7 linked regions of the Cricetulus griseus genome follow. The protein of the gene in region 5 interacts with the protein of the main gene of each other region in a pairwise test. Links are inferred from orthologs where the notes say so. Each region holds a gene or a part of one and is shown on either strand. Other genes may lie near its edges. The genes, in order: Dlk1, Otx1, Fam131c, CUNH22orf39, Grn, Smad9 and nuclear fragile X mental retardation-interacting protein 2.

Region 1 (3,994 bases), on a different chromosome or scaffold from region 5:
GAGCTGTTGTGGCCAGTGTGAGTCAGCTGCAGCAAAAACCTTCCCCCACCCACCACACTACCACTCAGGAGAGGGAGACCATAGGCAATTCGGGGTACAGAGGCCCCTTTGCTTCTCTGATCCTTGGTTTCCCTATTTGTCACTGGTAATGTTGAGGAGACAGGTCCTGGGTCACCTAGCTGTCTGCCTTCCTGCTGGGATATCATCTCTGGGGTAGGAGGGGTGGGCACACACCCTTTATTCCTTCAGTTTGCCTGGTCTTTGGGGACAGGGTTGGCAAGTGAGAATGGTCCTACAACAATGCAGCTGTCAGTTTTCAAGGATTATATAAATTAATGAAATCAGCAGATAACGTCAGTCTGCACTTTAACCCTTATGCCACCGCCACCAGCCTCCTGCAACACTTGACTGCCCCCCCCACCCTTGTCCTTCCTGGTGATTCATCCTCAGCCACCACCCCCCCACCCGCCATCACGACTCAGTATCAGTCACCCCTCCCCTCCCCAATTTGTTTGTTGCCTTCCCTTTCTTGATGTTTGAGCCCCAAGAATCACCCCTCCCATAGCATACACAGAAGACCCCAATCTTCCAGCCTCACCAACCTGTGCACAGGTAGCTCCAGTCCTTGGTCCAGCCACCCTGGGCATGCTGTGTTTTATTTTGTGACTCTTTATTCAACAGGCAGTTTTCCAGCACCCCCTCCCCAAGTCTAGGAACCCACAGAGCTGAGGTGACCAAACTATAGGCACTTGAGGCCCAGCAGGGAACGTATAGGCACTGTAGATCACATACTACAAACAGAGAGCCTTAGGGGTTCAGGGCTGTAGCTCCAGGAGGGGAGGGGGAGTGGGTAGGGAAAAGGGGTGAGGGTACCCACCTATGTCGCAGAGGTCCCCGTCCCAGCCATTCTTGCAGATACACTGCCATGGCTCCTCACAGACTCCATTGACGCAGCCAGGGGAGGTTATGCACTGGTCACACTGGGGGCCCTCCCAGCCGGGCTGGCACCTGTGTGAACAAAAGGAGAGAGAGAGGGGCACATGAGGGGAGCAGGGGTCCAAAGAGGGCTCAGGCTGTTTTTCTTCTGAACGGAGAACCCTTGGTGGTCTTTGTACAGTGCCAGGCCAGTGGGTCTCTGGAGCAAACAGCAGTCACCTGAATGAAAAGCTCAGAAAAATCCTCTAGGGCAGGAACACAAGGGTCTTCCAGACCCCCACACGAACCACATTTGGTGCAGTGACCCCCAATGGTCTCATCCTGTGAGACAATCCTCATGCCCCCCTTCTCCTGCCCCCGCTTCTCCTGGCCCCCCTTCTCCTGCCTCCTCTCACCCCCCCCACCAGTTATCTGCAGGAGCAAGAAAGCTGTGACGCAGTTTTATAAAAAAGCACCCCCCTCTGTTTAGCCTGGCTCCAAGACCCCACAGGACCCCACCATGGTCCCCAAACAGCTTACTCCATTACCTGCAAACATTGCCATCCTCGCAGAATCCATTTTTGGGGTCGCAGGCTGGGTCGCATTCAGCCCCTGAGGAAGGAAAAAAAAGTACGCAATCACCTCACAAGGCCTGCAGGACCTGCAGAGACCATTTCCTCTCACGTGGCCCACTGCTCCTCAGCAGGGGGGATCCAAAGACCCTCTCCTGGATCCTTCCAGCCTGGCACACAGTAGGCACTTCTTGGATGTGGCCTGACCTACCCAGAAAAACAATCCTGTGTGTTTCTAGCCATGGGATAAGCACAGCATACTCGTGATTCTCCAAGTGCAAAACAGACACCTTTCTCTCCAAATAAAATAGGAACCCCCAGACCATTAAAAGTAGGAATAGGGGGCAATGAAGAGTCAGCACTTGACCCTCAGGCATTAGGGCAAGCCCTCGCTTTTGCCAAGTGAGCTAAAGGGGGAGATTTTGAGGTCTCTGGAATAGCTCAGACAAGTCCACCTGCCTGGCTCACAGGTAGTGACTAGATTTCCCCCCCAAGATTAACCCCAGTTACATCAGACAGCCAATTCCTGTCTCTCCTGCCTCCCCCGCCCCTCGCTAGTCACATTAAAAGAACTGCGCAACAGCTCTGCAGGGCCTCCAACCCTAATAGACACCTACTGTATGCAACTACTCAACCACTCTTGGGCTTTCCAGACAGCACCCCCGCCCCTCACACACAACCATTGGTGCAGTGGAGGCTGGGGTCGCTGCGGGAAGGGGGGCAACTCTCTCGCTGCCAGTGACAGATGGCCGCTGCAGACAGAAGTGTCGCAGCCCCTCACCTAGAGAAAACGCGCCACGCAGGAGGGGCTCCTGCTTTGCTCCTGTTGGGAATTGGGGGCTACAACTGCAAAGTCATCCCCCCAAAGCCCCCAAGACCTGTTCCTAAGCACATAAGCAGGACAGACACCCCCAAAGTTGCACCCAGAGCCTATTTTTTCTTTTTCTTAAATAAAATACCTCCTAGAGCACCCCCCCTTTTCCATACCTCCTCAATCCACGCAACGACACCCCTCCGAACGCCACTTCTGCCGGGCAAGAAGGGGCTGGGGTCCTCCACCTCCCGCAAACCCCGGGACCCCAGGACTGGGCTCGGCACGCAAGAGTGGCGCAGGGAGGGTGGGGGGCTTAGGGTTAGGCGGGACGGGCGGGACTTAGGGCGCACGGGACAGGGAGCATGGGGTGGTCGGCGGGGCATCGCAGGCTTCCCCAGAGGGGGCGCGAGCCAAGCCGCCAGGGGAGCTCACCATAGGTGCTGGGGCCGAAAGCCAGCAGGAGCAAGAGGACGCGCAGGAGGGCTCCGGTCGCGGTCATCTCGGGGTGGCCTGGGTCGTGGTCCGGGGAGCGGCGGCGGTGCAGAGGGGGCTCCGGGGGCTGCACTGGGCTTCTGGTTGCGGACGATGAAGGGGGCACCGATGTCCCGCGGAGGGAAAGCCAGGGTTGCTCTGGGGCGCACGCTACCAGGTGCGGGGCGCCGAGGAGCTGCGGCAGCGGCCCGCGCGCCGCCTTTTCGTACTGTCGGTCCCCCCCCGCGGCCCCCGCCCACGCCCACGCCTCGCGCGCACGGGGCAGGCGCCGGCCAGTCCCGGTGACCCACCCCCTGGCGGGGCCGCCCCCCCGAGAGCCGGGCGCCCGGAAGCGGCTTGCGCACGCGGGCTCACTCTTGGCTAGACGGGTACCTGCGCACGATGGGCACGCGGTCCTCACACAGGACAGCACGCGGTGGAGGCGGTGGCGGCGCTCGCACAGGCCGGCTTAGCGCGAGTCTCAGGAACCAAGCCGGGCGGGCGGGCGAAAGCCCTAGCATGCTCTCAGAATACAAAACGCTCACAGACATAGTAAGACCCTTAGGGCTTTGGTCCCGCGCCCACATGGCGCGCGGGTCAAAAGCCCAGAAGGACCCAAACGCACACCACAAAGATGTGGAAAATGCACATGATCAGAGATGCACACACGAAAACCACCACGAAAAGCCGAAACCCCCCGACGAGCCTTGCCATTGTGGAGTTTGGGGAAGGTGCAGGTGCACTCGCCCCACGGAGCCCCAACCCAAACACACCTTTGACACAAGCACGCCTTAATACCCCTCCCTGGGGCACAGGTCGCTGAGCGGTGGGCAGCAGGAACTGTCCGTTGGCTCCAAGCAGGGGAAGCGCCAGCTATGAAAGGCTGCCTGTGCTGCCCCTGCACGCAGCCCGCCTGTAAACACAGGAGACCACTGGTGAACACCGACGACATCGTGCGTCACCCTCTCCCCCTCCCCTCATTCAGGTACTGCAGCCCCTGCCTGGGCCTTAGCGTGCTGAAACATAAAATCCGCTGCCTCTTTCCAACATTTAAGGCTACACACCTGATAGGAACACCTGTGCCCAGTCCCCCAAACTGTCTCAGATTCGTGGGGTCACCCAACACACAACCCCCCCCCCACCACCAAAGCACACACAATCGAATCCATCTTGGTTCACAGAGACTCTGGTCTCACCAATGTGTTCCAAATGCAATCAACCA
Region 2 (4,257 bases), on a different chromosome or scaffold from region 5:
TTGCTCGGTGCGCCCAGTGGCTCTGGCACGGACACGGATGGCGGTGCTGAGCCTGGCGAGATGGAGGCCGGGCTCCAGATGGACGAAGCAGTAGGCGTACTCAGAGAGGACGCGGCTGCCACCGGGTTCCCACCCAGGCCCGCGGCCGCAGCAGCCGCGGGATTGGCGGAGGCACTGGACGCTGAGCTAGACGAAGAGGCCGAGCTAGACACGGCAGGCGGCGTGAACTGGCCGCTACTCTCCGAGCCCGAGCTCTCGCGCACTGGAGACGACTTCTTCTTGACCGGCCGGCTTTTCGTTCCGTTCCCGCTCTGCTGCTGCTGGCGGCACTTGGCACGGCGGTTCTTGAACCAAACCTGCAGTGAGCAGGGTGAAGGAGAAGGGATCAGGGGGCTGGCTAGTGGAGCTCACAGCTCCTCCGCCCCTCGGACTCACACCCCGCCCAGGATCTCAGGGACCTCTCAATCCCAGCCTCTACCCCTCCCAGTCTCTGGCCCTGCCAGACCCTGTCCCCTCCCCCGCACGTGCTAGGTCCCCAGCTCTGGCTCCCTCCCCCATCCTTCTGCGCAAAGCCCCCAGTCAGCCTCCACCGCAGGAGGGATGCGCACCTCCCCAAGCCCAGCGCAACTCTGCCCAAGGGCGGAACGTTTGCGTCTGTCCAGCCAGAAGTTCAGCCATCTCTAAGCTGTTGCAGTTGGCTGCTTCCCCGCAGCCCCGTTTTAGTTTGGAGGCCCTGTTTTCCAAGAACAGAGCTCAGGAAACAGCGGAGAGTACAGAACATCGGAGAGTAGGGCAGTCACCAAGTCTGGGGCCCGAGGGGTTTCACCGAGTCGGCTCCTGGAGACTGGAGTTGGGCAGGGCAAATATTTGGGTGGGAACAGAAGCAAGGCTGGAGGCTGAACTGAACGGAAGCAGTACTCCAGTACTGGGATTCTCGTGAAGGAAGCCTGGGTGAGGTTTCCTTGGGCCTTTTGGCTCCAGGTGGGGTACCAAATGGAACGATAAGTCATAAATTCGCACTCCTTTTGGAGGGGCCCGGACACGGGGCATTGCATTCCCAGTCCCTTCTCGAGCCTTCAGGGAAAGAAGTTGAGACAAAAGACTCTCGAGGAAGAGTTTTAGACTAACTCAGAACTCCTATTTTCTGAACTGTTTCATTTTAGAAACAGTAAACCCAGCATCTGGATTTTGCACTCGGCCTCCACTCGGCTGGAGAAAACTCCAAACCATACCGACTCCACCCTCAGAGCACACTCCAAGGCAGATTGCGCTAGGCTGTGACCAAGTTCCATCTTGCACTTTTAGAATCCCCAGGACTCAAGGGAAGGGTAAGAAAGACAAGAGCGGAAGGAGAGCTAAGGCTCAGTAGGAAAACGCCAAATTCTGTTGTAGCCAGGAAGCAGGGGCCATTATCTAACCTTCTGGGAAAGTTACACCCGGGGGACACGGCTGGCCTTTCCAAAATCCAAAAACCGACTTTCAACAATGAAAGCGCCCTGGGGACAAGGGCTAGAGAGATGTTGGGCTCTAAGCCATTACTTTTTAAAATGTTACCCCCCTTTAGCTGACTGAAGCCCAGCACTAGGGGGAGTTAGAGAGGGGCTGTCCAGTCAGTGAATGGGCCCCAACACCAGATGGCCCAGGTCGGATCTTCCCCGACCGCTCCTAGCGCCCCTACCCTAATCCTAGAGTCCCAAAGACCACGCACCTGGACTCTGGACTCTGGCAGGTTGATCTTGAGCGCCACCTCCTCTCGCATGAAGATGTCCGGGTAGCGAGTCTTTGCGAAAAGGGCCTCCAACACGTCCAGCTGTGAACGCGTGAAGGTGGTGCGTTCCCGTCGCTGCTTCCGCGGGGTGGCTGTGGGGACATACAAGGGCACCTGGAGTCAGCAGTGGACCTCGAGGACTGGAGCTAGAGGCCACACGCAGGTCTTCTGGTAGGTCCAGAACCCTGCCATGGAAAGGAAAGGCCGACCTCCGCGCAAAAGCAAACTTCCCTGCCCACAGGTGGGGCAAAGTGTATAAATTGGGCTAGAGGCTCCTGTCTGAAAGAAACATCAGGGCCTCAGCCCTCCTTGTCTCTCAGATAAAAAACAAAGCCATCCCCTCCTCATCTCCCTAAGCCCACTTCTGGCTGAAAGGTAGGAAGTAGAACAGAGGTAGGTAGAAACAGGACCTGGGAAAGCTTTCCAAGTGAATAAATTCAAGCAAAGAAGTAGGATCCAGAAAATAAATTCGGGGTTCAGTTGGAGTCGTCTGCCACCACGGAAGAGCTGGGTCAGGTCCCTGGTCTCTAGGGCACTCTGACTAGGGAGAAAGAGCTCTGCTTCTCAAGGCAGCTAGACATAAGGGAAGTTTGGCTGTTTACATTAGGGCCTATCGAGTCCAGATTCCTCGTGAAATGTTTGGGCGGGCAAGATTTTATTTTTTTAAAAAAGCAACCGGTGGGAAATACGTCGGTGGACAAACATGCTTTCTCTAGCATGTGAGACCACAACAGGAGCAGGCACCACAAGCTCAAAAGTTGTAGGTCACAGTTTCTAAACTCAAACCGGAGAGCCTGTAGCAGATCTGGGCAACAGACACAGAGATAATCATATCCCTGGGCCTGTTTGGGGACTGTGTGGGCTCAAACGTTAAAAGCTGGAATCCCCCAATATTTGCACAGGCTTGGGGGTAGGGACATAGGGCCACCGCTCACCAGGATAGCCCACAGAGGGGTGTAGGAGGTCCATGGCAGGGCCAGCTAGGCCCAGCCCGTTCATGCCGTATGGGGGTTGTTTGAGGTAAGACATCATGCTAACTGCCGGGTGGAGGCGCCCCGACGGATCCAGGGGGCCTGGGGCCAGGAGCAGTTCAGGGCTCCCACTTCGAAGTCCTTCAAGCTGTTGCTTCTGGGGGCCTGGCCTAAGGAGACAGGAGACACATGGAAACCGTCACCCGCAGTCACTTTGGCTTTCAGTTCCTATAATCCTAGAATGGGGAGGGGGGCAGGCTAGGAACTTAACAGGGCAGGCAACCCAAGAAATTTCTCCTCCAAGCTCAGCAAGCCGGCTTCTTAGAAAAGTAAACTTTCCCCACATCGTTCCTTCCTCTTTTAGGGCTTGACAAGGGCCAAAGACACTCCTTGAGTGTCAACAGGAAAGAAAACTTAAAAGCGCGATCAGGCCGAGGAGGTGAGAGCCGGGACCGGGGAGGGTGCAAAATCCCAAGTGTAGTCTTTTTTTTTTAGTGCTGCGGAAGCAATTTGCTCAAGCAAATGTTCACTTGGCGCCGGGATGGCAGGCCGTACAGAGCGTACGTACCGGGTTATTTTGTTTAAGTTTCAAATGTTTTTGAAAGAGGGACAAAACCGCTGGCACTACAGAGGTCCAAGGTTAGTACCCCTTGGATCGCCCAGGCAACTGCCCATTTTGGTCACATCATTCCTTCAGAGATCTCCAGAGCAGCCCCCTCCCCCAGAGTCCCAATCACCATTCTATCTGACCTCTCTGGGCCCCTGACGCTAGGAGATGGGTGAACCGGAATTTCAACGCACTTCTAGGGTAGATGTGGCCCAGGCCCGGGTGAGGCGGCGAGAAGATGCCAAAGGCGCCACAGTAGAAGTGGCAGTTTCAAGAAGCCGCCCAAGGTCAGGGGTGCCTCAAAGACGGTCACCCGTCCTCCTAAGCCCACGCAGGCCCGACCTTCTTTCTACCAAGTCCGAGAGAGCACACCGAGTCCCACCAGGGTCTGATAAAGGATGACCAGCCCAGCGGCTCAAAGCATGCTGGGGAGTTCAGAAGCCAGAGCACCCTGGATCGCGTGGGCTCCTCGCCGTCCTCTCCTGAACTCGGTGGAGAGCAGAGAACTAGGCCTCAAGTCGGAAAGCTCCCGCACACCCAAGCTGGGAGCGCTAGGCTCGGCCGAAGACACTGCGAGCCCCTGGCGCTCTTCTCCAGCGGAAGAAGGGGTTCTGGGGGGGTAGGGCTGGGACCCGAGAGGGGGGCTTCTAGCTACACCCGGCTTTACAGGGAGCCCAGGGTGGGAACTCAGGGAAAAAGGAGGCAGGACTTAAGTAGCTTTCCCATCCCAACTCCAACCCCTGCTTCGGTCCTTGGGGTCCCGCGGCCTGGACTAAGGGAGACCAGCAGGCGCGGAAGGCGGACGGAACCACAAGGGAAACAGCGCACTTGGGCCGGAGAACCACAGGCCACCAGCCGCCGCGGTTCTGCGAAGGTGCTGCGTGAGTTTTCGAATACTTAGATCTAACTTA
Region 3 (3,500 bases), on a different chromosome or scaffold from region 5:
AGGCCAGGCAGCACAACATAGTGAAACCCTGTCTCAAAAAAAAAAAAAATCAAATAATAATGATGAAACAAAAAATAGAAAATAGCATCTTGAGGCTAGAGAGATGGCTCAGTAGTTGAGAGCATTTGTTGTTTTCCCAGAGGACCTGGGTTCAGTTTCCCAGCACCCACAAGGTAGCTCACAATCATCTCTAGTCTCAGGGGATCCAATGCCCTTTTCTGGCCTCCACAGGTACTGCATACAAGCTGTGACCATAGACACATGAAGGCAAAAACTCATACACATAAATTAAAAATAAAGAAATCTTTTTTGTTTGTTTTTTGAGACAGGGTTTCTCTGAAGCTTTGGAGTCTGTCCTGGAACTAGCTCTTGTAGACCAGGCTGGTCTCGAACTCATAGAGATCCACCTGCTTCTGCCTTCCAAGTGCTGGGATTAAAGGCGTGAGTCACCACCGCCCAGCCCTGATTTTACTCTTGAGAAGCTGTTGTTAGTTACTAAGCAGAACTGGGCTGGCAGTGGAACCTACTGTCTGCAAGGCTGAGTTAATTTGGGCAGGAAGACCTCTGGGATGGTATTGTGTTTTCTAAATAAGTCTGGCACCCATCCAGCTGAATGCCAAGCCCTTGGGTCCCCTATTACCCAGGAAGAAACTGGGGTTGGCAAGGAAGAAGGGAGCCAAGAATGGCCTCTGCTTGCCCTAGAGAGATAAAAGAGCAGCTGGAACCAGGGCAGGCAGGAGGAGGGTGATGAGTGGCCGGTTACCTTGCCAGCAACACGGTCTGGAGCCATGACAGGTGGATGAGGGCTGGAGGGCAGATCCCGATTCAGGAGGGCTGTGCCCTGTGACCTGGGGCAGTCTTTGTGGGCACTGATGAACAGATCTGGAAATAAAGATGACAGGAGAAGTTAAAAAAAAACCCTCTGACTTAGCCATAGTAATTAGGCAGGGGAAGACATAGGCACATCTGAACTGAAAAGGAGGGAATATGTTTTACCTACAGAAAAACTAAAGACAGCCGGGTGGTGGTGGTGCACACCTTTAGTCCCATCTCTCGGGAGGCAGAGGCAGGAGGATCTCTGTGAGTTTGAGGCCAGCTTGGTTTACAGAGTGACTTCCAGGACAGCCAGGGCAGTTACATAGAGAAACCCTGCTTGGCCATAAAAAATTTTTTTTAATGTTTTTTACCCTTCTGCAGTAACAGATTAATATACAAACACATTCTACAACTATACAGAGATATTTCCTTTTTACTTTGAGACTAGGTGTTTGTGTGAGTGAGAGAGAGAGAGAGAGAGAGAGAGAGAGAGAGAGAGAGAGAGGGAAAGGGAGAGGGAAAGTGTGTGTGTGTAAGCTAGAAGACAACCTTGGGTGTTGTTCTCCAGGCACTGTCTTTATTTATTTATTTATTTATTTATTTATTTATTTATTTATTTATGAGGCAAGGGCTCTTACCAGACAGGAACTTGCCACATAGGTTAGGACACCTGGCCAGTGACCCTCTACCTCCCTCTGGCCCTAGCACTGGCACTGCAAGTGCAGGCTATCTTGCCTGGCCTCCTAAAGTGGGTTGGGGGAACAGAATGTAGGTAAGCTGCCAACTGAACATCTCCCCAGTCCGAACTTCACCTATTTTATTGGCCACAGCAGCCCCTGCACCTGCCACAGGGCCCAGCACACAGCAGGATCTCATAGGGGCTTCACAAAGGGCTTCACACAGCAGCACAGCAAAGCCAGACTTTGTTGCAGGCAAACAAAAGCAGCTGGGCTCTGTCTCCAGGCATACTCCACTCTAGACGCCAACGGGTCAGGGAAGAAAGGGGTCCCGACAGAGGAAGGGCCCAGGGCTCACACGGCAGGCACATCCAGCCCAGCTGGAGGGAGTAAAGCAAGTATGGACCTGCATTCAAGGAGACTTTTCAGCCAAATCGCATCCTGAAAGAGGCCAAAGGATCTGGGACCTGCCCCAAGGCTGGAATGCATGGGCCAAGGCAGGGAGGCTGGAGCCAGGCTGTCTGGGACACCATAGGAGAGGAAGGCAAGGTGATGGTCAGTGTCTCTCTTGCCCCAAAGTGACCCAGACATAAGGAGGGCAGGGCATGGAGGACCACATGGGTTCTGAGAATGAGGGCTGGACCATGTGCACACAGCAGGCAGTCCCCAGCACAGCCTGCTGTGTGCCAGTCCTGGCCGCGTGACCCGAGTTAATGTTGCTCTTCTCGGGGCTCCAGGACCTCCCATCTTTACAAAGGAGGACTCAATGGCAGGGCAGGGGCCGCGTCCTTCAGTGGCTTGTCCATTCATCAGGCTTGTTTTTCACTTATTTGCTGCTTACTTACTTGGCCATTTATTTGAATGGTCTCCAGCCAGAGACCAGAACTGACGCCTTATACATGCTGAGAAGTGCTCTTACCACTGAACTACACCCTCAGCCCTCTTTTCACCAGGTCTGTTTAAAAAATAATAAGATAAATATTGAGTAGAATAGAGTGGATATCATCAGAGCTGGAGGCAGCCTCAGATCATTCAGTCTTGTGTTGTGGAGCTCCTATGTGTCACAGGCACATAGGTGTGTGTGTGTGTGTGTGTGTGTGTGTGTGCGCGCGCGTGCGCGAATTTGCACAGGTGAGAATTTTCTAGATGTGTATACTGGATCAAAATGCAAAATATATTTGTTCCTACAGGTCTGCCTTAGTTACTTTTCCATTGTGGTGCTAAGATACCATGACTAAGGCAACTTATAGAAGAAACAGTTGACTGGGGATTAAGGTTTCAGAGGTTCATGACCATCATGGAGCAGATCGTGGCAGCAGGCAGGTATGACGCTGTAAACACGGCTGAGAGCTCACAACCTGATCCACAAGCACAAAGCAGAGAGAGAGCTAACTGGGAATAGCATGGACTTTTAAAACTTCAAAGCCTGTCCCCATAACAGGCCTCCTCCTGCAAGGCCAAACCTCTCGATCCATCCCATACAGTTCCACTAACTGGGGACCAAGCATTCAAATATATGAGCCTGTGGGGGCCATTCTCACTCGCCTCCAGGTCTAAAAATTACAGTTTGAAAGCTCAACCAGCAAGATGCCTCAGTGGGTTAAAGGTGCCTGATGCAAAGCCCGATGATCTGAGTTCCATCTCTGAGAGTCATAGGTGACAGGAGAGAACTGACTCCCAGTTGGTCTATGACCATCACACATGTAAGGTCACATGTGCACACCCACATACAAACACATAGCAAACAGGTAATAAAAATTAGGGGCTGGAGAGACGGTCTAGTGTTTAAGAGCACTGGCTACTCTCCCAAAAGACCTGGGTTCGATTCCCAGCACCTACATGGCAGCCCACAACCACCTGTAGCTCCAGTTCCAGTGGCTCTAATGTCTTTCCCCAGGTCTCTATGGGCACTAGAGACAGACATGATGCACACACATACATGAAGGCAAAACTCATATAAAATAATTTTTTTCAAATTAATTTAATTTTTTTTAAGTTTGAAAGCTG
Region 4 (4,146 bases), on a different chromosome or scaffold from region 5:
CAGGAGAACACTGTGGAAGCTCTCAGGAGTGCAGGGCTCGCCACTTGTCCAGGGGACCACGATTAGGGATATATTTGACCCCACAGCCATCAGGAATGAGCCGTTTCTCAGCAACCATGTCTTCAAATTCATCTGCATTAAACTTGGTGAAGCCCCATTTCTTTGAGATGTGGATCTTCTGGCGGCCAGGAACTTGAACTTTGCTCTACGAAGAGCCTCAATCACATGTTCCTTATTCTGCAGCTTGGTGTGGATGGACATGATGACCTGGCCAATGTGAACCCTGGCCACTGTGCCCTGGGGCTTCCCAAAGGCACCACGCATACCCATCTAGAGCCTAGATTGGGGATATCATTGAGATCAGAAACTTGAGAAACTGAGAAAATTGTCTCCAAGGTCCCTTAGGGCAGCCCATATAGGCGATAGGCTGCATACGCTACCAAGGAGGCTGCTGTTTGCAACCATTGCACACCAGGCTCCCATGGGGAAAGGGACCTGATCGGCTTAATTAGCTGCAAATAATTCATCATCTTAAACAGCAATTTTATTGTGTTCTTTGTTTTTTTTTTAGACAGGATCTCAAGTAGCCCAGGCTGACTGGCCTCATGATCACGATATATGACCTTCAGTTTCTGATATTGCTGCCTCTGCCTCTGCCTCCTGAGGGCACAACCATGTCCATTCTCTGACTTCAGCCATTTGAAAACATCTCCTAGGCTTCAGCTACAGCTGACCTGGAGAGTGTGGAGCAAGCCTGAGAGTGGGGACATGGAGTGAGGAAGAGAGTGTGAAGTTAATTTACTGTTGGACTCGCCGGGCGGTGGTGGCGCACGCCTTTAGTCCCAACACTCGGGAGGCAGAGGCAAGCGGATCTCTGCGAGTTCAAGACCAGCCTGGTCTACAAGAGCTAGTTCCAGGACAGCCTCCAAAGCCACAGAGAAACCCTGTCTCGAAGAAAAAAAAAAAAAAGTTACTGTTGGATTCTGCACAGGGTGTGTGTAAAAGGTCGCCCTCATTATGATATATATATATATATATATATATATATATATATGTCATGTATATAGTTATAGCTCATATATAGTGACAGACAGTAAGTTTCTTGCCATATGAACAAGCTTTCTGCCATGTTTTTTACTTTCACTTATTAGGGGTTGCCATGCTTCTGTTTTCCACATTTTTCAAAATTTTTATTTATTTTTATTTTATGTGCATTGGTATTTTGTTATGGTTGTTGGGTTCCCTGGAACTGAAATTATAGACAGTTGTGAGCTGCCGTGTGGGTGCTAGGAATTGAATCCTGGTCCTCTGGAAAAAGTTAGTGCTCTTAACCACTGAGCCATCTCTCCAACCCCTGTTTTCTGCATTTTACAAAAGAGTTTCGGCAGCTTGTTTTCCACATCGGTTCATTTGTCTGTTTCAGAATGTTTACGAATGTTTTCAACACCTAGCCTCTTCTTCCTTGATCTCCCTACGCTGGCTGTGTCCTGGAGTTTTTGCTCCCCTTTTCCCCATCACACTGCCCATGAAAGCAATACCATTCATTCTCCAGACTGGAGTGCAACCCAGGAAGGCAGGGCTCCTTTATCACCTTTATCAGAGATCGCCCAAAGAGATGACTAGAGACGACTATTTGTTTAATGAATGGCTACAAATAGTCGTCTGAAGCTAGGAGGCACGCTCACTGGCATAGGAAATACATAAAATTTAGGAGCAAGAAGTTCAGAGAGTTAAAAATTCACCAGCCTCCTACCCAAAACTATAAAAGCAGTAACAACGACTGGGAGTGAAGACTCCAGAGCTGCTCGGAAGGCGTGGCAGAGGGGGGTGGGGTGGGGAGAAGCTCCAAGGATCACTGTGCTGGGCCTTAAGGGAATGCTGCTGCCTTTTGAGTCACCATGCTCCAATTAGTGACCCAACAAAGTCATTGGTTCACCAAGCTAGTTTAAGTGGAAGTCTTTCTTTGGTTCGTCATTCCACATACTATTCAGAGTTAAGGAGAGGTTTCTTCACACCTCCTAGAGAAGGTCCAGCCTCAGTACTGGTCACTGTCCTCTACAGTAATCTCCATGCTCTCAGAGCTGGGCTGGCCTTCCAAAGGTAACTGCAATCATACGTGCCTGAACATTTTTAGGTACTCTCAGGTTCATTCGTATGCCCTGAACAGCTCATCCGCATGTTCCAGGCACCTTGGCTCTTTTCTTCCTGCATCCTGTCCCCAAGGGCGGGCTGATGACCCTAAGGCTGGACGGTTGTCCTCCTCCCCAAGCCTCTCTATGCCTCCTTTCTTTCTGCCTCCCTCCTTGTACTCGACGTCGTTTGGGGGTACTTCTCGGGAGGGAAGCTCGAGGGGGATGTCCCCGAGGGATCTGTGCACACACCCACCCACACCCTGCTCGCACCTGGGCCTCGGGGCTGCGGCTCTCCTCCCATTCGCGGCAGCTGGCCAGGTCGCGCAGCCACTGCCTGCAGTCCGGCCGCTCGCCGTGGACGTAGTAGTGGTGTAGGATGTGCCTGGCGCTGCGGCAGAGCTCCCACTCAGAGCGGTAGACCTCGCAGGGCCGGGGAGGCTGCGGGCAGAGACAGCTTGAGCGCGGGCAGACCCGGAACCTAACCCCACCCAGCCCCGCAGCCCCGCAGCCCCGCAGCCCAGCACACTCACCTGCCAGCTGCCGGCGACCGCCATGTCCAGGCCCCGTGTGACTGACAGAGACATGAACCAATGAGCTCCAAGTAAATTCACAGCTAAACAGGACGTCTTCACTGAGTGGGCGGATTGTTAGAGGCCTCACCAACTGATGTCTGGCGGGTGACTTGTCTTCAAAGCCTTGTAATTGACAGCCTGAAACCCGGCAGTTTCGGCCAGCTCTCCCGGTTTTTATTTTTCAAATCTCGGTGTGCCTCAGCTTTCCAAGTGAAGACTCTGAACTCCGAATAACCCACCTGGCAGTCTGAGACTAAAGGGATCTGGTCTGAGCATACACTAAGGTGTAGATGAGCTTTATTTGGTGTGTGGAAAGGAGGGGGCAGGTGCGGGGTGGCTAAAAGTGAAAGGAATTCTAGAGGCGGCCGGGCTCTGCGGTGCACACTTTTAATCAAAGCATTTGGGAGTGAGGCAAAAGCAGGGGTTCAAGGCCAGCCAGGGATATACCATGAGACTCCGTCTCAAAAAAAAAGTCAATTTACGGGACTTGAGATTGATTGCTCAGTTAGCACTGACTGACCTTGATTTCCAGCACCCACGTGGCAGCACACTCCCAAGAGAGAGGAGAGGCAGCTTTGGAGCCTATCCTGGCACTCGCTCTGGAGACCAGGCTGGCCTCAAATTCACAGAGATCCACCTGCCTCCCGAGTGCTGGGATTAAAGGCGTGCGGTTCATATCTCTCTCTCTCTCTTTTGTTAAAGATTTTATTTATTTATTTATTTATTTATTTATTTATTTATTTATTTATTTATTACAGTCTTCTGTCTGCATGCCAGCAGAGGGAACCTGATCTCATTCAAGGTGGTTGTGCTGGGAATTGAACTCAGGATCTCTGGAAGAGCAGTCGTCGCTCTTAACCTCTGAGCCATCTCTCCAGCCCACAGTCAGTGTTCTTAACCGCTGAGCCATCTCTCCAGCCCAGGCTCATCTCTTAAGAAGCACTTGTGAACAGAACCAAGGACCTGAGTTTGATCCCTGTATGCCTCAAGGTGGCAGAAGGAATTCCTGAGAACTGTCCTCTGATCTCCACATGCACACACCTGCACATGCAGTCACATATGAGATGCATTCACTTTATGTGTAATAAATATGTATGTGCACCATGTGTACACAGATCTCTGGAACTGGAATTACAGAGGGCTGTGATCCACCATGTGGTGCTGGGAACCAAACCTGGATCCTCTGCAAGAACAAGTGTTTACTGAGTCATCTTCCCAGCTGAACAAAACTTATAGTAGTCAACAGAACTCCACAAATGAAGGCTGCCTTGCTGCTAGTGGAACATCAATGACAGGTCAGGCAGGTACCACAGCATTTATACCTTCCAGAGCCATATTTGGCCAGTGATGATGTATGTGCCAAGAGACAGAAGCCAATTATCATGTTGTTTGTGGATATTTCTCACTAAGAGCAAATGGACACACTAGAGCCATCGGGAAAG
Region 5 (3,952 bases):
TTAGACGATCGCTCATTACCATAGGCAATGTGTCCTGGAAAGAAGCAATGACATATACCAGAGGATCTGTGCCAGACCTCTTCTGGCCAATCCAAGGTAACCCTTCAAAAGGCCAGGATGCCAGCTGGGGCGTGAGACACTCACCAGAATAGGGTTGCAGCAGCTGTAGCTGGCTCCTCCGGGGTCCAGGCAGCAGACAATAGGGCACGACTGACCATCTGGACACTGTGTTCCAGCCACCAGGCCTGCCATGAAGGCCAGCCAGCTTACCAGGGTCCACATGGTCTGCCTGCAAATGCCAAGGAAAGTTTGGCAGCCATCTTAAGCTTATGCCACCTTCTATTCTGAGTCCATGCAGTTCCCCATGCCCTGGCCAAGGCATGACATGCCTTGGATTTATTGAAACTTCTCAACAAGTGAGCAGGAAGGCAAGCAGCTGCCTGAGTCAGCATCCTACACTGTAAGCATCACACTTGCACCAGCTTGCACACACGGTGAGCACGAATGCTGGCATGAACACAAGTGTCCATCATGTCATCACACTTGGCCTAACACCTGACACTATAGGCGACTGGAGAGGCGCGGAGTTATGACAGTCAGGAAGCCATGTGGCTTTGATTTATGGGACTGTGGGCTAACTGGGAGGAGACTTCAGCGGCCACAAGAGGACAGCCAGCCTCACCTCGCTGCCTGGCACTGAACTCCCACATGTACTTTTCAAAGGCCTTGGGGAAACAGAGTTGTCAATCACATGATCATATGGGAAACCAGGGGTTGAGAAAGTTGTGAAAACGGAAGTGCAGTGGCCAGGGGAGTCTGGGCTGCCTTTCCCACAGGCCAGCCACTGCCTGCCCACAACTGTCCCCTCCCCACCCAGGGGAAGGGCACATGGTGGCTGGATTAGCCTTGAAGCTAATTTCATAACCAGCCCTCCTCAGCATCACCAGGACTCCTTTGGACTCCTCAAACATACCACCTGTTTCTCCCTACTCAGAAATCGAAACTCAGCTGCAAGAGCAAAGTTAAGTGTACTTCTTCACTGGCCCTCTGCCTTAGCAGGAGGAACCGAGTCTCTCACTTCCCTAATAAGTCTTTCCCCAGCACAGCTGGCCTACCCAGCAACCCAGAGTGACACTCCCCTGCCTGGGGCAGCAAAAACAGCAATATTCAAAGACCCTCCAGGGAGCCACTTTGCCCTTCCTTACTGTATTTCTCTGCACAACTATGCAAAGCAGTGATCAGATTACTTTCACTTTTCAAATCCATGCCCAGGTATCAAGTCAGAGAAAACAGACTGCAGATATTGGACCTGGATTCTTATGTCAACTGACATCCCTGAACATTGCCAGGGAATGGACCCCAAATCCCAGAGGCCAGAGGTCCAAGCAGAGGGAAGCGGGCAGAACATTTCCCAGGCAGGTGACCTACACAGGATAGAAATAGGGTGGGTACAGCCAGACGGTGGTGGCACACGCCTTTAATCCTAGCATCCAGAAGCAGAGGCAGGTGGATCTCTGTGAGTTCAAGGCCAGTCTGGTCTACATAGCAAGTTCCAGGACAGCCAGGGACAAAAAGATCCTGCTCAAAAACAAAAGCAAAACAAAAAAATCTACAAAAGAAAGGGTGGGTACAGGGACGGTGTAAAATCTGCCACTGATCAATTGCTGAGGGCCTCAGAAATTGTTTCCTGTGCCTCAAACTCTGAATACTGGTGGCCATGGAAGGCAAAATCCCAACATCCAGACCTCAAAGCTTCCGATAGGCATGACAAACATGCTTTTGATCCCTGCACTTGGGAGGCTAAGGTGGGAGGATTACAAATTCCAGGCTACAGGGTGACTATGAGGTCAGCCTGGGCTACATAGAGGATCTGTCCCTCATTGTGCCCCCTCCCCTTCCTTCTCTAGGTTTTCAAGCACCCTCTCAAAGAATATCCCAGAGGTCATCTCCTGGCCAGATTAGAATGGGGTAGGGGAGACCTAATCCCTTTCATTAGGGTTAGGGAGTGGTGACCTCTGGCCACCTCTACACCACTCTGTTGAAATAGCCTGAGAGGACTGGAGGAGCCTTTCAAGGCCCTAGCTTCGAGATCTTCCACTAGGTGGCACCCCCGACTCCGGAGTGTCAAGGGGAGATGAATTTCCCAAAAGGTGAGCCAATCCAGCAGAGGAGCAGGGAAAAGTGGCGGGGAGAGGCGGAAGTTAGCTCTCTCGCCCCCCATAAAGGAAGTACGGCTGACACAACCCAGGGATTCTGCCACCACGCCCAACTCCTGCTCCCAACTCCTCTGAGCTCTGGGACCAAGGGCGGGAGATCCCCACCCACTGCAAGTCGCCGCGAAGACTACTGGCGGCACCAGAATGAGAAAGTGCCGGGACCTGGAGACAAGAGGTGGGAGGCACCGAGAGAGATGAAGCTGGCCCAAGAGTGGGGCGCTTCCTGCTCTGGAGAAAGCCCTGCAGCTTTCCGACATGCTGGGCAGGGGAGCCTCTTGTTGGGGGTGTCTACAGCAACTGTTCCCACTCCTCCCAAATGACAAACCCTCGTTAGTGCATCTGAAACCCCGAGGGGAGTTTCAAGAGGCAGGACTTCTCTCGTCTCTGAGCTGAGGCTCCGGGGCAGCCTCAGTTGCACAGCAAGCCTGGCCAGGCCTCTGGACAGCAGCCAGGGAGATGTCTGCTGCGGGTCCTCCTACCTGCTTCGGGGTCCGCACTCCCTGGGAGGCATCTGGCTGTCAGCTCTCGGACTAGGGCTTGGCTGCCCGATGGCCCGCCCACCTCAGTTTCCATTAGCCCTGGGTCGGGAATCCGGGGCTTCCATTGGCTACTTGTCTACATAGAGGCGGGACTCTCCAGGAATGCTGTGTTTCTTTTCTACTCAATCCACACTCCTCCTCCCTTTCCTCTCTCTCCCCACACCCCATGTCTAGGAATCATGTGACCAGGCAATCATATGACACCATAGCCCGCCTCCCCCAGGGCCTCGCTTGCTTGTTCGGTTGCTTTCCTCCCACCCCCCAGGGCCCTGGCGGCGCCTGGCGAGGTGTTCTAGAGATGGGGCTTGCGTACCTAAGGCCACCGACAGTTAAGAAGGCGCCTGCGGGGCGCGCGTTCAAGGTCGTTTACAGCATAGCGTCGGCTTCTGGATCGGGACATTTGTACATTCACTGTTTTCACGCTAGGCAGCCAGGACTCCAAACAAGCTGAAAGATAGTTGGGAGGGTAAAGATAAACAGTCCCCAGATTTGGGTGGGATACTAAATCTAATAAATGTTCAAGGGCGAGTACCAGGCAGGAGATTGGCTGAAGGTAGGGGAAGAATAGATGTAAATCCACTTTGAGCTAGCCAGGAGATGGTATCACGCTGAACTGAATCTAGAGGAATTTTAAGGGGCTGGTTAGGCGGGACAGAGGCACTCCGGAAGAGGTTAGGAAAGCAGATGGGGAGTACAGTGTCTAGCAAGAGTTAAAAGCCACATTCAAAGTAAGGGCATTGGGCATGAGCTAAGTATGTGGCATGGGCTGGTGAAGCAGGCTGGTGGCTGTGGAGGTGCAAGAGGCCTCCTAGTTTCAGCTACCCCTACCTTCGAGGAATTGTCATGGTCCATGAATAGAGATTTTTAGCAGTAGAACAGATTAGCCAGAAACAAAAGCCAGGCTGCTGAGTGCCAAAGGGCCTGGGCCAGACAGAAATGGCTGATTGGAGACCTGCCAGGAAGAGGACAGGCCCCAGGAAAGCCCAAGGCTGGGCCTTGTAGGAAAGGCAGAGTTGGTGTGGAAGATAGGTCCCCTGGGAGGAGCAAAGAGCTTGACTGGTAGGCCACTCAGGGGAATGGGGACAGCCCTACGAATAAATCCAGGACAGTAAGAGTCTTGCATAGAGAGGAGCCTGGTGGGCTTCTTGGGCTAGAGCTACAGGAATCCCAGAAAGTGGAGGCCAACGTGGAGTATCT
Region 6 (4,045 bases), on a different chromosome or scaffold from region 5:
AGAAAATAAGCCTGGCAGAGGACACCTGAGTGTGCAGACAAGGGTACCTGGGGTTCAACATGCACCGGTGTGCATGAAGATGAGCACACAGTTTTCACAGCCCTGGTGACATCTAATGCTGGCCATTATCTTTAAATGGTTTTAGTTGGCACAGACATAATTTTCAGGAATGTTTGCTTTTAAGGCCTAGTTAATTGCCAGGGGATGTTTGTTTATTTTTGCTATGTTCCTATTCCTACACAAACATTCATCAAGTTAACATAGCACACCACTGCCTACTCACACCATCAAAATTAGGATGTAAGCATCTGCCTCCCTTGATTTAGGACAGCTTGCCAATTCACTAGCAACAGTAATAAAGGGAATAAAAACCCAAAGTCAAGGATTATAACAATTTGAGATTTGTATTTTCAATATACACCCAATTTACTGGATATTCTGCATACACCCCGATTTCTGAATTCCTAAGTGCTCACAAAAATAAACAGGAGTCTCCCCCAAGTTTTGTTCAGATGTTAGGATTTAATGTCAGATGTTACAAAAAAATAAAAACCAAGAACATTCATTGATCAGAACCCTGACCTTCCCACCACTGGAGCATCTCCTGGATATTAAAGCAGACTATGATGAAATTGTTTTCTTGTAGTGGAGAGGGAAGGTCAGATATCATTGGCTGCCTTAATGATGCAGTAACCATCTCTCTTCAACTTGGCAGCAAACATTGCACTCTCATTCATCAGCATTCAATTATTTGTAAAACTGATCTCAAATTGTTTTATTTGTGTGAAAGAACAATTTCTTGTTTTTTTTCTCCTCCAATTTGACCACATGATCAGAAAGAATACACAAATTTACCATCCATTCAGTGCTTCTATGTCTGTGGTGAAGTTTCTTATAAAACGGGGTGGGAATGCTAAGCAATACAGCAGTCTCCTGTATTGCTTAGCATTTTCTTCCTATATCTTAGGTTATCAGAGACGCAGTAGCTGATACTGGTGAATATCTTCTAATTTTCTCATTAACTATGGAATATGTAAAATAAGAGGAAAATATTTGATAAAGAAAACACCAACTGCCTCATGTTTAAGGTGCTTAATTTGCTTAAGACCTTAATTTGTCTTTGCTTTTTAGAAAATACTACTAGTAAGTGAGCTGGCTGCATCCAGACTATGCCAGCATTCTCCTAAGCAGAGTTCCAAACTGGAGGGGCTGGGGGGAGGGCGGGGAGGGAACCCCTGACAAAGCCATCCGCTCAAGCATAAAAGTGGGGGCTGGCAGTATCAGGACAGATCCAGCAAAGGCCAGCTTTCAGGAAGCTGACTTGCCATCAAGAAGCCTTACCACTAGAAGCTATTTTCAGAAATATTGGTCATCTTATCACATTTTAAATGTTCCTTGTTTATAAACCACCACACCGGTTTCTTATCTGTGATGTCCTTGGATTACCAATCATAGACTTGAAAGTGATCCAAAATCGAGTTCCCGCCTTCCTAGGAGCAGAGCTATGAATGCTGGTCATTTGCTGTAGAGTGTGCTTGAGCTGTATTTTCACTTGCCTTTTAAATATAAATGAATAGTTTCTACATGTAAACATCCGAGGGCATTGACAGGCAGGCTAGCACATTTCACAACCACAAATATTCCTGAGGAACTGCCTAGGAAGCGCCATCCTTAAAGGGCCAACGACCTTACCGTTATTCTCTGCTCTCCCTGATAGCTAAATTTTTACAGGAACCTAGCAAGCCGCCGCACGGTCACTGTGAACTGGATCCACTAAAAGTAATTCCTAGTGTTCCATGGCATGCATTCAACCGAATTACATACAATTTGCTTCCAAAACGAGATCCACATCATTTGTAGGTTATTTCTCAAAATTACCAGTTTTAGCCAAGAAATATCCCAGCGGAGGACCTCAAAACTATCATTTTCAATTGCCACGGCCGAGAGAGAGAGGGAGGAGAAGGAGTAAGAAGAGTGTGGCGATTAACCACCCATAAGAAGGCTCCCCACGCTCCTCCTCCCCATCACAAGGCCGGCGTCAGTCAGTCGCCTGCATCTGTCCCCACCTCGCCCCCTCCCGTCTGCGCAGAGCTGGCACCCAATGGTAGGCCCAGGAGAAGACAAACACAACCCAAGCGCTAGCTACAGACACTTAACATTCCTAACTTTTTTTTTTCCTCTCTCACTGTGTGTGCCTCAAAGGTAAGCAGAGAGGAAAAAATTACAGGAGTATGAAATAAAGCTTCATGGCCAAAGGCGCCCTGGAGTTTTAAAATCTCCCCCCAGACTACCTTACACACACTCACACTCGCCCCTCTGCTGTCCCCAACTCCCCAGCAAAGGGCTACTGCCCCAATCAGGGTTTCAGAGCGCCTGCTCCTGGGTGCAGGACAGTGTGCATCCCTCTGCACTTGGTCCACGCGCATCCTGCATCCTTGCCCACACCCCGGGTCACGCGTCCCCGGGATGGGTCCCAGGTGCCAGGCTGCCGCGGAGACCTCGCACATTACACTCGCCACCCAGGCTCCAGGGAGAGCCAAGCCCCATGCCAGAGAACCTCAGAGGCCTCCCAGGTGCCCACGCTCGCGGCGTGGCAGCGCTTACCTGTCCGTGTGGTGCCACGCGTGCCCCGCGCTCTCGGGCTGCGCGGTAGCTGCAGGGCCCGGGCGGGCGGCGGCGGGACCGAGACAGCGGCTCCAGAGGCGTCAGTCAGGCTGGAGCCTCCTCCTCGGCCGCCCGCGTGAGTGCGCCGCACTGGAAGGGCGCCAGGCTGCCGTGCGCGCAGCCCCAGCCAGGAGGGGCCGTGCGCTCTGGCCGAGCCGCGCTCCCCGCCCGCAGAGCTGCGCACCCGCTCGTCCTGCGCATGGCCTCTGCAAATGGCTTTCAGGGCCAGCGGGATCTCCAGGTCATCCCCCGAGGTGTCCTCCCCACCTGGACCTCAGGCAGTGGAGAGAGGGGGCCAGTCCCCCCCACCCACCCACCCAGAGGCAGACAGGACCACCAACCATATGTGGCTCCAGTCCTGGTCCCTTGAGGCCACACTTACTGGCTAGCTTAGCTGTTCCTTATCTCTGTATCCGAGGCATAACTTGCCTGGCACCAGCCCAAGAAAATCTGGCTGAGTGGCAGTGGAGTTTCAAACTAGTGCTGTAATGTTGTGGACTGTGATTTCTTACGCAGTGTATAATACATACTGTCTAATACTCAAGATATACATCATGGGCACAAAGAACCTTCCTGCCCAGCTGCCTGGCTGCCCCCTAGGTCGCCTGCCTTTAAAATGTCACTTGGGAAGTGGCACCTGTGTGTTGAAAGCCTTTGATTCCCCCACCAAACCTTATAGGTTTTCAAAAAGACAGAGGTTTTCAAAATGGCATTGGCCATCTCAGTTAGTTCCACACTGTAAGCATCCCCCAAGAGGCCAAAGCACCTTGGAAATGTAAACAAAAGCCCTTAGGTTGGACTTCTTCCCCTAACCCTAAAACCACCACTTTCTGGAACATGTCACTTTTGCATCATCATCCAAGGGTAGCTGAAGAAGGCTTTGCTTAAAATATATTGCAGAAGTGTAAATGATACTTGAACTTCAAACTGGAAGTATCTCTCTACAGCTGGTCCATATACCCTGCTGCAGGCCAGGTGTTGGGTGTGAGATTGCCCTGGGAGAGAAAAACACCCCAGAAAAAATACTGTCCAGTGTGGGGACCACTGAAAGTCATGGACTGGATGAGAGAATTTCATGTGCACCTAGAGGCAAGTAAACTAATTAGGTTCTCTGAATTGATAACTTGTGCCTCAACACCCACCCACCCCTTCCCCAGAAATGATATTAAAGAACTGATCCAATCAGTTTCCTCCTTCTCTGGGAGCACAAAGCCGTGAGAAACCTTTGATAGGCTGGTTCATGCTTCTGCCACGGAGGCTGTGAATCCACAGAATTCTCTGGAGGGTAGGTGTGGGGCAGGCCTCTAAGTGTGTGTACTCTGCCTTTTCTGGACGTTACTCCCAAAAAGGTTAGGGAGATAAAACAGTAAAACCTGGTGGG
Region 7 (4,086 bases), about 25 Mb from region 5:
TAAAACAAAACAAAACAAAAACAAAAAAACATGTTAGGATGATAAATTGCACATTTAAAATTTCCTTTATACTACATAGAGAAATATATATCTCATTTGAGCAAGTGTACTTGTAATGTAGTTTTAAGAAATAGCATATTGGCTTGGTGTGGTGGTGTAGGACTTTAATCCCAACACTCAGAAGGCAGAGGCAGGGGGATCTCTTAGTTGGAGTTCCAAGTCAATCTGGGTTACACAGACTGTTTCAAAAACAAACCAATCCAAAACAAGCAAACAACCCCTCCTGCCAAGACCCACAAAAATATATTTTGAGGATATTCTGTGTCTGTCATCACAACCCTCTTCCTACTATGAGTTGAATTAACTGCATAGAATGCAAATACATCTTTAAATTGCAATGTTTTCTGTAAATGCAAAACAAAAAGATGTAAAAATTAAAATCGTAAGAACTTTTAAAGGTGTACTTTCTCCCTTCCTTCACTCTTAAAATTCTTAATCTAAAACCTATTTTGGTTTCATAGTTGACCTTACCTGTAGTGTTTAATTAAAACAATACAAAACAAAAAAACCCTTCAGTATATATTTTTCATCCATCCCTCTTTCTTGCCTTCAACTACAAAGAAACAATGATTTAAGCCCTTTGTGCCCTTTTAGAAAATTACACAGATACCCCATTGTGGAACCCTATAATCCCTCCGTGGAAAGGAAGAGATTAGCATATGAATACAAAGCAAAATGAATCCAGAATACAAAAACGATCTATCGAGTTGTGAAGGTTTTGTATTCTTAAAATTGAATTTATTTCCTCTTTTGTATTGCCCCTTTCGTGGCCTAAGGGTTAAGGAAATTGAGCTTCCCCCTCTGCTCTGGTTACCCGGAAAAGGATTTAAAAAAAAAGAATCCAAAACCACACACACACACACACACCCCAACAGATTCTAGGAGGTGCAAAACCAACAGATGGCTCCTAGCGCCAGTAATCGTCCGTGGAATCTGCTACACTCGAAATCAGCTTGCTTGCCTGTGAGGAGTGTAGAAAGTGCTGTTCGCTAACTGCGTGGTGAAGGAGAGAAAGCGATAGAAGAGAGAGCCATAATGCTGACGTTGAAGGCCCGGCCCTGTGAGGTTGCATAGGGTAAGTGGCGTTGGCCAGGCGGCGGCGGCGAAGGGGAAGGGAAGAGGATTTGGGCTAGGGGCGGGGCTTGACGCGCAGCGTGGCTCCTGATTGCTGGAGGGCTGCTGCCAATCTTCCAGATCCGCTCGCTTAACCAGTGCGCTGGCGAGACGCGCTCAGATATACTGAGCGAGCGCTGAGAAGCAGTCTCAGATCCTGACGGTGCAGCAGCCTGCAGCCTCAGCCAGGGAGTCCCAGCCGCTTTCAATGGAGGAGAAGCCCGGCCAGCCACAGCCTCAGCACCATCACAGCCACCACCATCCGCACCATCACCCCCAGCAGCAGCAGCAGCAGCAACAGCAGCAGCAGCAGCAGCAGCAGTCGTCGCATCACCATCACCATTATTATTTCTACAACCACAGCCACAACCACCACCACCACCACCATCACCAGCAGCCTCACCAGTACCTGCAGCATGGAGCCGAGGGCAGCCCCAAGGCCCAGCCCAAGCCGCTGAAACATGAGCAGAAACACACCCTTCAGCAGCACCAGGAAACGCCGAAGAAGAAAACAGGTCTGGGAGGGAGGGCGGTGGGGGAAGGGGGGCTGGGGCTGGGGGGCCGACGAGGGGATGGGGGTGGGGCTAGATGTGAAAAGCGCGGACCCGGCCGGGGTGTGCGTCCCGCGGGGCCTGGGATGCCCCCTTTCATTCTTCCCGGGCGCGGGCCGCGAGGTGGGGATTGCAGCGCCCTCTCCTTCCCTTCAGCATGGGAGAGGCCCAAGCAGGCCAGCGTGACCTTCCCCGGCCCCCGCCCCGGCTGGAGGCAGACCTCTCTCTACGGTCGGCTTTGGAAGTCCACAACCTTATTTTTTTTCCCCCCTCCTCTTCTACGGCCCCGGAGTTGCCGGAATGTGGGGGGCCCTAAGAAGGGATCAAACTCGGCCGCCCGCAAAAAAAAAAAAAAAAATTCCCTCGAGGTGTATGTAATTCCGGCGGGCCTAGTGAATCCCGGCTCGGGTGGTGTCGCGAGACCCTCTTGCAGGCAGCGAGGAGCCGGGCTGAGGGCTGAGTTGAGGAAGCGTCCTCCCTCACCCGCCACCCAAGCCCACCTGTGGCCCTGGGGTTTGCTGTCTGGGGGGGGCGGCTGGGACCCCTTCTCCCCTCGAGTCATTTCACCCCTAAACGCCCCTTCCGGGCGCCGGACCCTGCTGTCTCTCCTCGAGGCTTCTCCGGAGGCCGGCGCCCCTGGCCCGCTCTCAGAGCCGGCGAGGCTGGAATGTTCTCTCCTCCTCGCGGGGCCGCTTCCTGTCCGCCATGTTGGAAGCCGATTCCTGTCACCGACTCGGGCCGGCTGAGGAGCGGAGGGGGGAAGGGTGCCCAAGGCCACACTGCACTCTGGGACCGAAGGCCCGGGACCCTCGGCGGCCATCGCCGGGTCCCCCGCACTGCGGGCGGCCGGCGCCCGCCGCCCCTCCCCCGCCTCGGTTTGGTGGCGGTTGGGTGGGGGAGGGAAGCGGCCACGAGGGGAGCGGCCTGCACCGTGGACCCGCGCGCCGACGGCCGCGTTTCCCGCTCCCGGGTGCGGCGGGAGGCGCGGGCGGCCCGGCCGGGCGGGGAGCCGGCCTAGAAGAGGAGCTTGAGGGGGAAGGAGGCCCGGGCGGCGGCCACGGCGTTCCGCTGGCCTTGGAGGGGCGAGGTGGGGGACTCATTTTCGGTAGAGGCGGTGCCTGAGGCCGGGTGGGGTACCCAGCGGGAACCAAGCTCCCGGGTCACGAGTTTCTCTGCCACAGGAATCTCATCTCCTGCCAGGTTCGCTCACGACTCCGCCTCAGCGGCTTTCACTTAGGCCTTTTTTCTTTCTAGCAGCGCCTTTCCTACCAAAAGAAGGGAAAACAACCTCTTAAACCTTGTTCCATCTGATTTCCACACAGCACCTAAACTTCTGGGCATGGGTAGTGGCTGCAGGGATTAGTCAAATACTTGATTTGGATGGACAACAGAGACAGTTTGGGTCCCCTATTATCTGGAAATGGCTTGTCCGTGAGGTTGGGTCAATACCATCTTACCTTGGACAATACTTTATGGTGATATTAAAGTGAAAGACATTTGCTGCATTTTAAAACCGATGTCGTTACCCAAACTGAATTTTATTTAACATGTTAAACGTAAAAGTCTTGAGGAAATACTTAAGAAATAAATGTCAAAATTTATATATTCGCAGATTAAAAGTTTATAAACTGAAGAGTAGTGAAGGGAATACTTGGAAGAAAAAATGTTAAACTCAGCATGTCATTTAAGCATTCAAGCAGTCACTGGTGAAAAACTTACTGTAGACAATGTAACTTTGAAGACAGATGCCGGATATCAGATTTTTTTTGTAAGGTGCAGTAGAAGTTAAGTGCTTAATTGTAAGGATCTAGAGCAGCCTAGAAAACTTAGGAATTATGTAACACTGCATTTTGGTTTTCAGAAAGTGGGGAAGTATTAAGGTTGTCAAATAATGGTACTTTTTAGATTTTAAATTTGTTTTATGAGGTTTATGTATTCCCCACAGGACTCATCATTTACAGTGATGCAGACCCTGAACCGTTGGAAGTGACACCCCTCAAAATATGTCTTAAGTTGGGATGAAGAATAAGGAGGGAAACTGTTGAGGGTTTGGGGGTGATCTGTCTTTCATGTATGTTTTGGTCACACAGTACTGTTGCTTCAATGGCTTTTTATGACCCATTACTCCCAAATCTTTGAGAAACTAGTTTTTTGAATCCAGAAGAGGGCACAAGAGAAGACAAAATGTGTTGAGTGGGTTGCAGTGGCAAATCCAAAGCTAGATTTGTCAGGACTCAAGTTTTGACTGAGTCCATTTGAAGTTGAGTTTGCATGGCAGCCCTAAATAAATGCTACAGATTTTTAATTTTTCAGGAATAACTACAGTCTTGACATTTTTCTTAAATGTTTAAGCTTTTAAAAA

Evidence for each region.
Region 1: the proteins of Grn (region 5) and Dlk1 interact in binary tests that used the Homo sapiens proteins (3 or more experiments, as listed by UniProt). The link is inferred for Cricetulus griseus from reciprocal best matches to the Homo sapiens genes GRN and DLK1.
Region 2: the proteins of Grn (region 5) and Otx1 interact in binary tests that used the Homo sapiens proteins (3 or more experiments, as listed by UniProt). The two-hybrid records come from large-scale screens. The link is inferred for Cricetulus griseus from reciprocal best matches to the Homo sapiens genes GRN and OTX1.
Region 3: the proteins of Grn (region 5) and Fam131c interact in binary tests that used the Homo sapiens proteins (3 or more experiments, as listed by UniProt). The link is inferred for Cricetulus griseus from reciprocal best matches to the Homo sapiens genes GRN and FAM131C.
Region 4: the proteins of Grn (region 5) and CUNH22orf39 interact in binary tests that used the Homo sapiens proteins (3 or more experiments, as listed by UniProt). The link is inferred for Cricetulus griseus from reciprocal best matches to the Homo sapiens genes GRN and C22orf39.
Region 6: the proteins of Grn (region 5) and Smad9 interact in binary tests that used the Homo sapiens proteins (3 or more experiments, as listed by UniProt). The link is inferred for Cricetulus griseus from reciprocal best matches to the Homo sapiens genes GRN and SMAD9.
Region 7: the proteins of Grn (region 5) and nuclear fragile X mental retardation-interacting protein 2 interact in binary tests that used the Homo sapiens proteins (3 or more experiments, as listed by UniProt). The link is inferred for Cricetulus griseus from reciprocal best matches to the Homo sapiens genes GRN and NUFIP2.

What each region holds. Positions count from the first base shown.
Region 1 is NC_048598.1:185,357,937-185,361,930, forward strand, and holds the start of Dlk1 (protein delta homolog 1), read right to left. Parts: upstream 2,801-3,994; coding exon 2,734-2,800; intron 1,528-2,733; coding exon 1,464-1,527; intron 1,009-1,463; coding exon 878-1,008; intron 1-877. UniProt on the Homo sapiens protein: May have a role in neuroendocrine differentiation.
Region 2 is NW_023276807.1:84,695,139-84,699,395, reverse strand, and holds the start of Otx1 (homeobox protein OTX1), read right to left. Parts: upstream 2,801-4,257; coding exon 2,704-2,800; intron 1,861-2,703; coding exon 1,709-1,860; intron 357-1,708; coding exon 1-356. UniProt on the Homo sapiens protein: Probably plays a role in the development of the brain and the sense organs. Can bind to the BCD target sequence (BTS): 5'-TCTAATCCC-3'.
Region 3 is NC_048595.1:11,878,629-11,882,128, forward strand, and holds part of Fam131c (protein FAM131C), read right to left. Parts: intron 883-3,500; coding exon 764-882; intron 1-763.
Region 4 is NC_048597.1:70,360,804-70,364,949, forward strand, and holds the start of CUNH22orf39 (UPF0545 protein C22orf39 homolog), read right to left. Parts: upstream 2,801-4,146; 5' UTR 2,717-2,800; coding exon 2,663-2,716; intron 2,571-2,662; coding exon 2,403-2,570; intron 519-2,402; exon of another isoform or gene 384-518; intron 338-383; coding exon of another isoform or gene 233-337; exon of another isoform or gene 55-232; intron 1-54. UniProt on the Homo sapiens protein: Negatively regulates long-term potentiation and modulates adult synaptic plasticity. Stabilizes the interaction of RTN4 isoform A/Nogo-A with its receptors, inhibiting clustering of postsynaptic AMPA receptors at synaptic sites.
Region 5 is NC_048600.1:115,672,851-115,676,802, forward strand, and holds the start of Grn (progranulin), read right to left. Parts: upstream 2,801-3,952; 5' UTR 2,728-2,800; coding exon 2,696-2,727; intron 290-2,695; coding exon 145-289; intron 35-144; coding exon 1-34. UniProt on the Homo sapiens protein: Secreted protein that acts as a key regulator of lysosomal function and as a growth factor involved in inflammation, wound healing and cell proliferation. Regulates protein trafficking to lysosomes, and also the activity of lysosomal enzymes.
Region 6 is NW_023276806.1:96,416,875-96,420,919, forward strand, and holds the start of Smad9 (mothers against decapentaplegic homolog 9), read right to left. Parts: upstream 2,801-4,045; 5' UTR 2,605-2,800; intron 1-2,604. UniProt on the Homo sapiens protein: Transcriptional modulator activated by BMP (bone morphogenetic proteins) type 1 receptor kinase. SMAD9 is a receptor-regulated SMAD (R-SMAD).
Region 7 is NC_048600.1:91,081,813-91,085,898, forward strand, and holds the start of nuclear fragile X mental retardation-interacting protein 2, read left to right. Parts: upstream 1-1,286; 5' UTR 1,287-1,381; coding exon 1,382-1,688; intron 1,689-4,086. UniProt on the Homo sapiens protein: Binds RNA.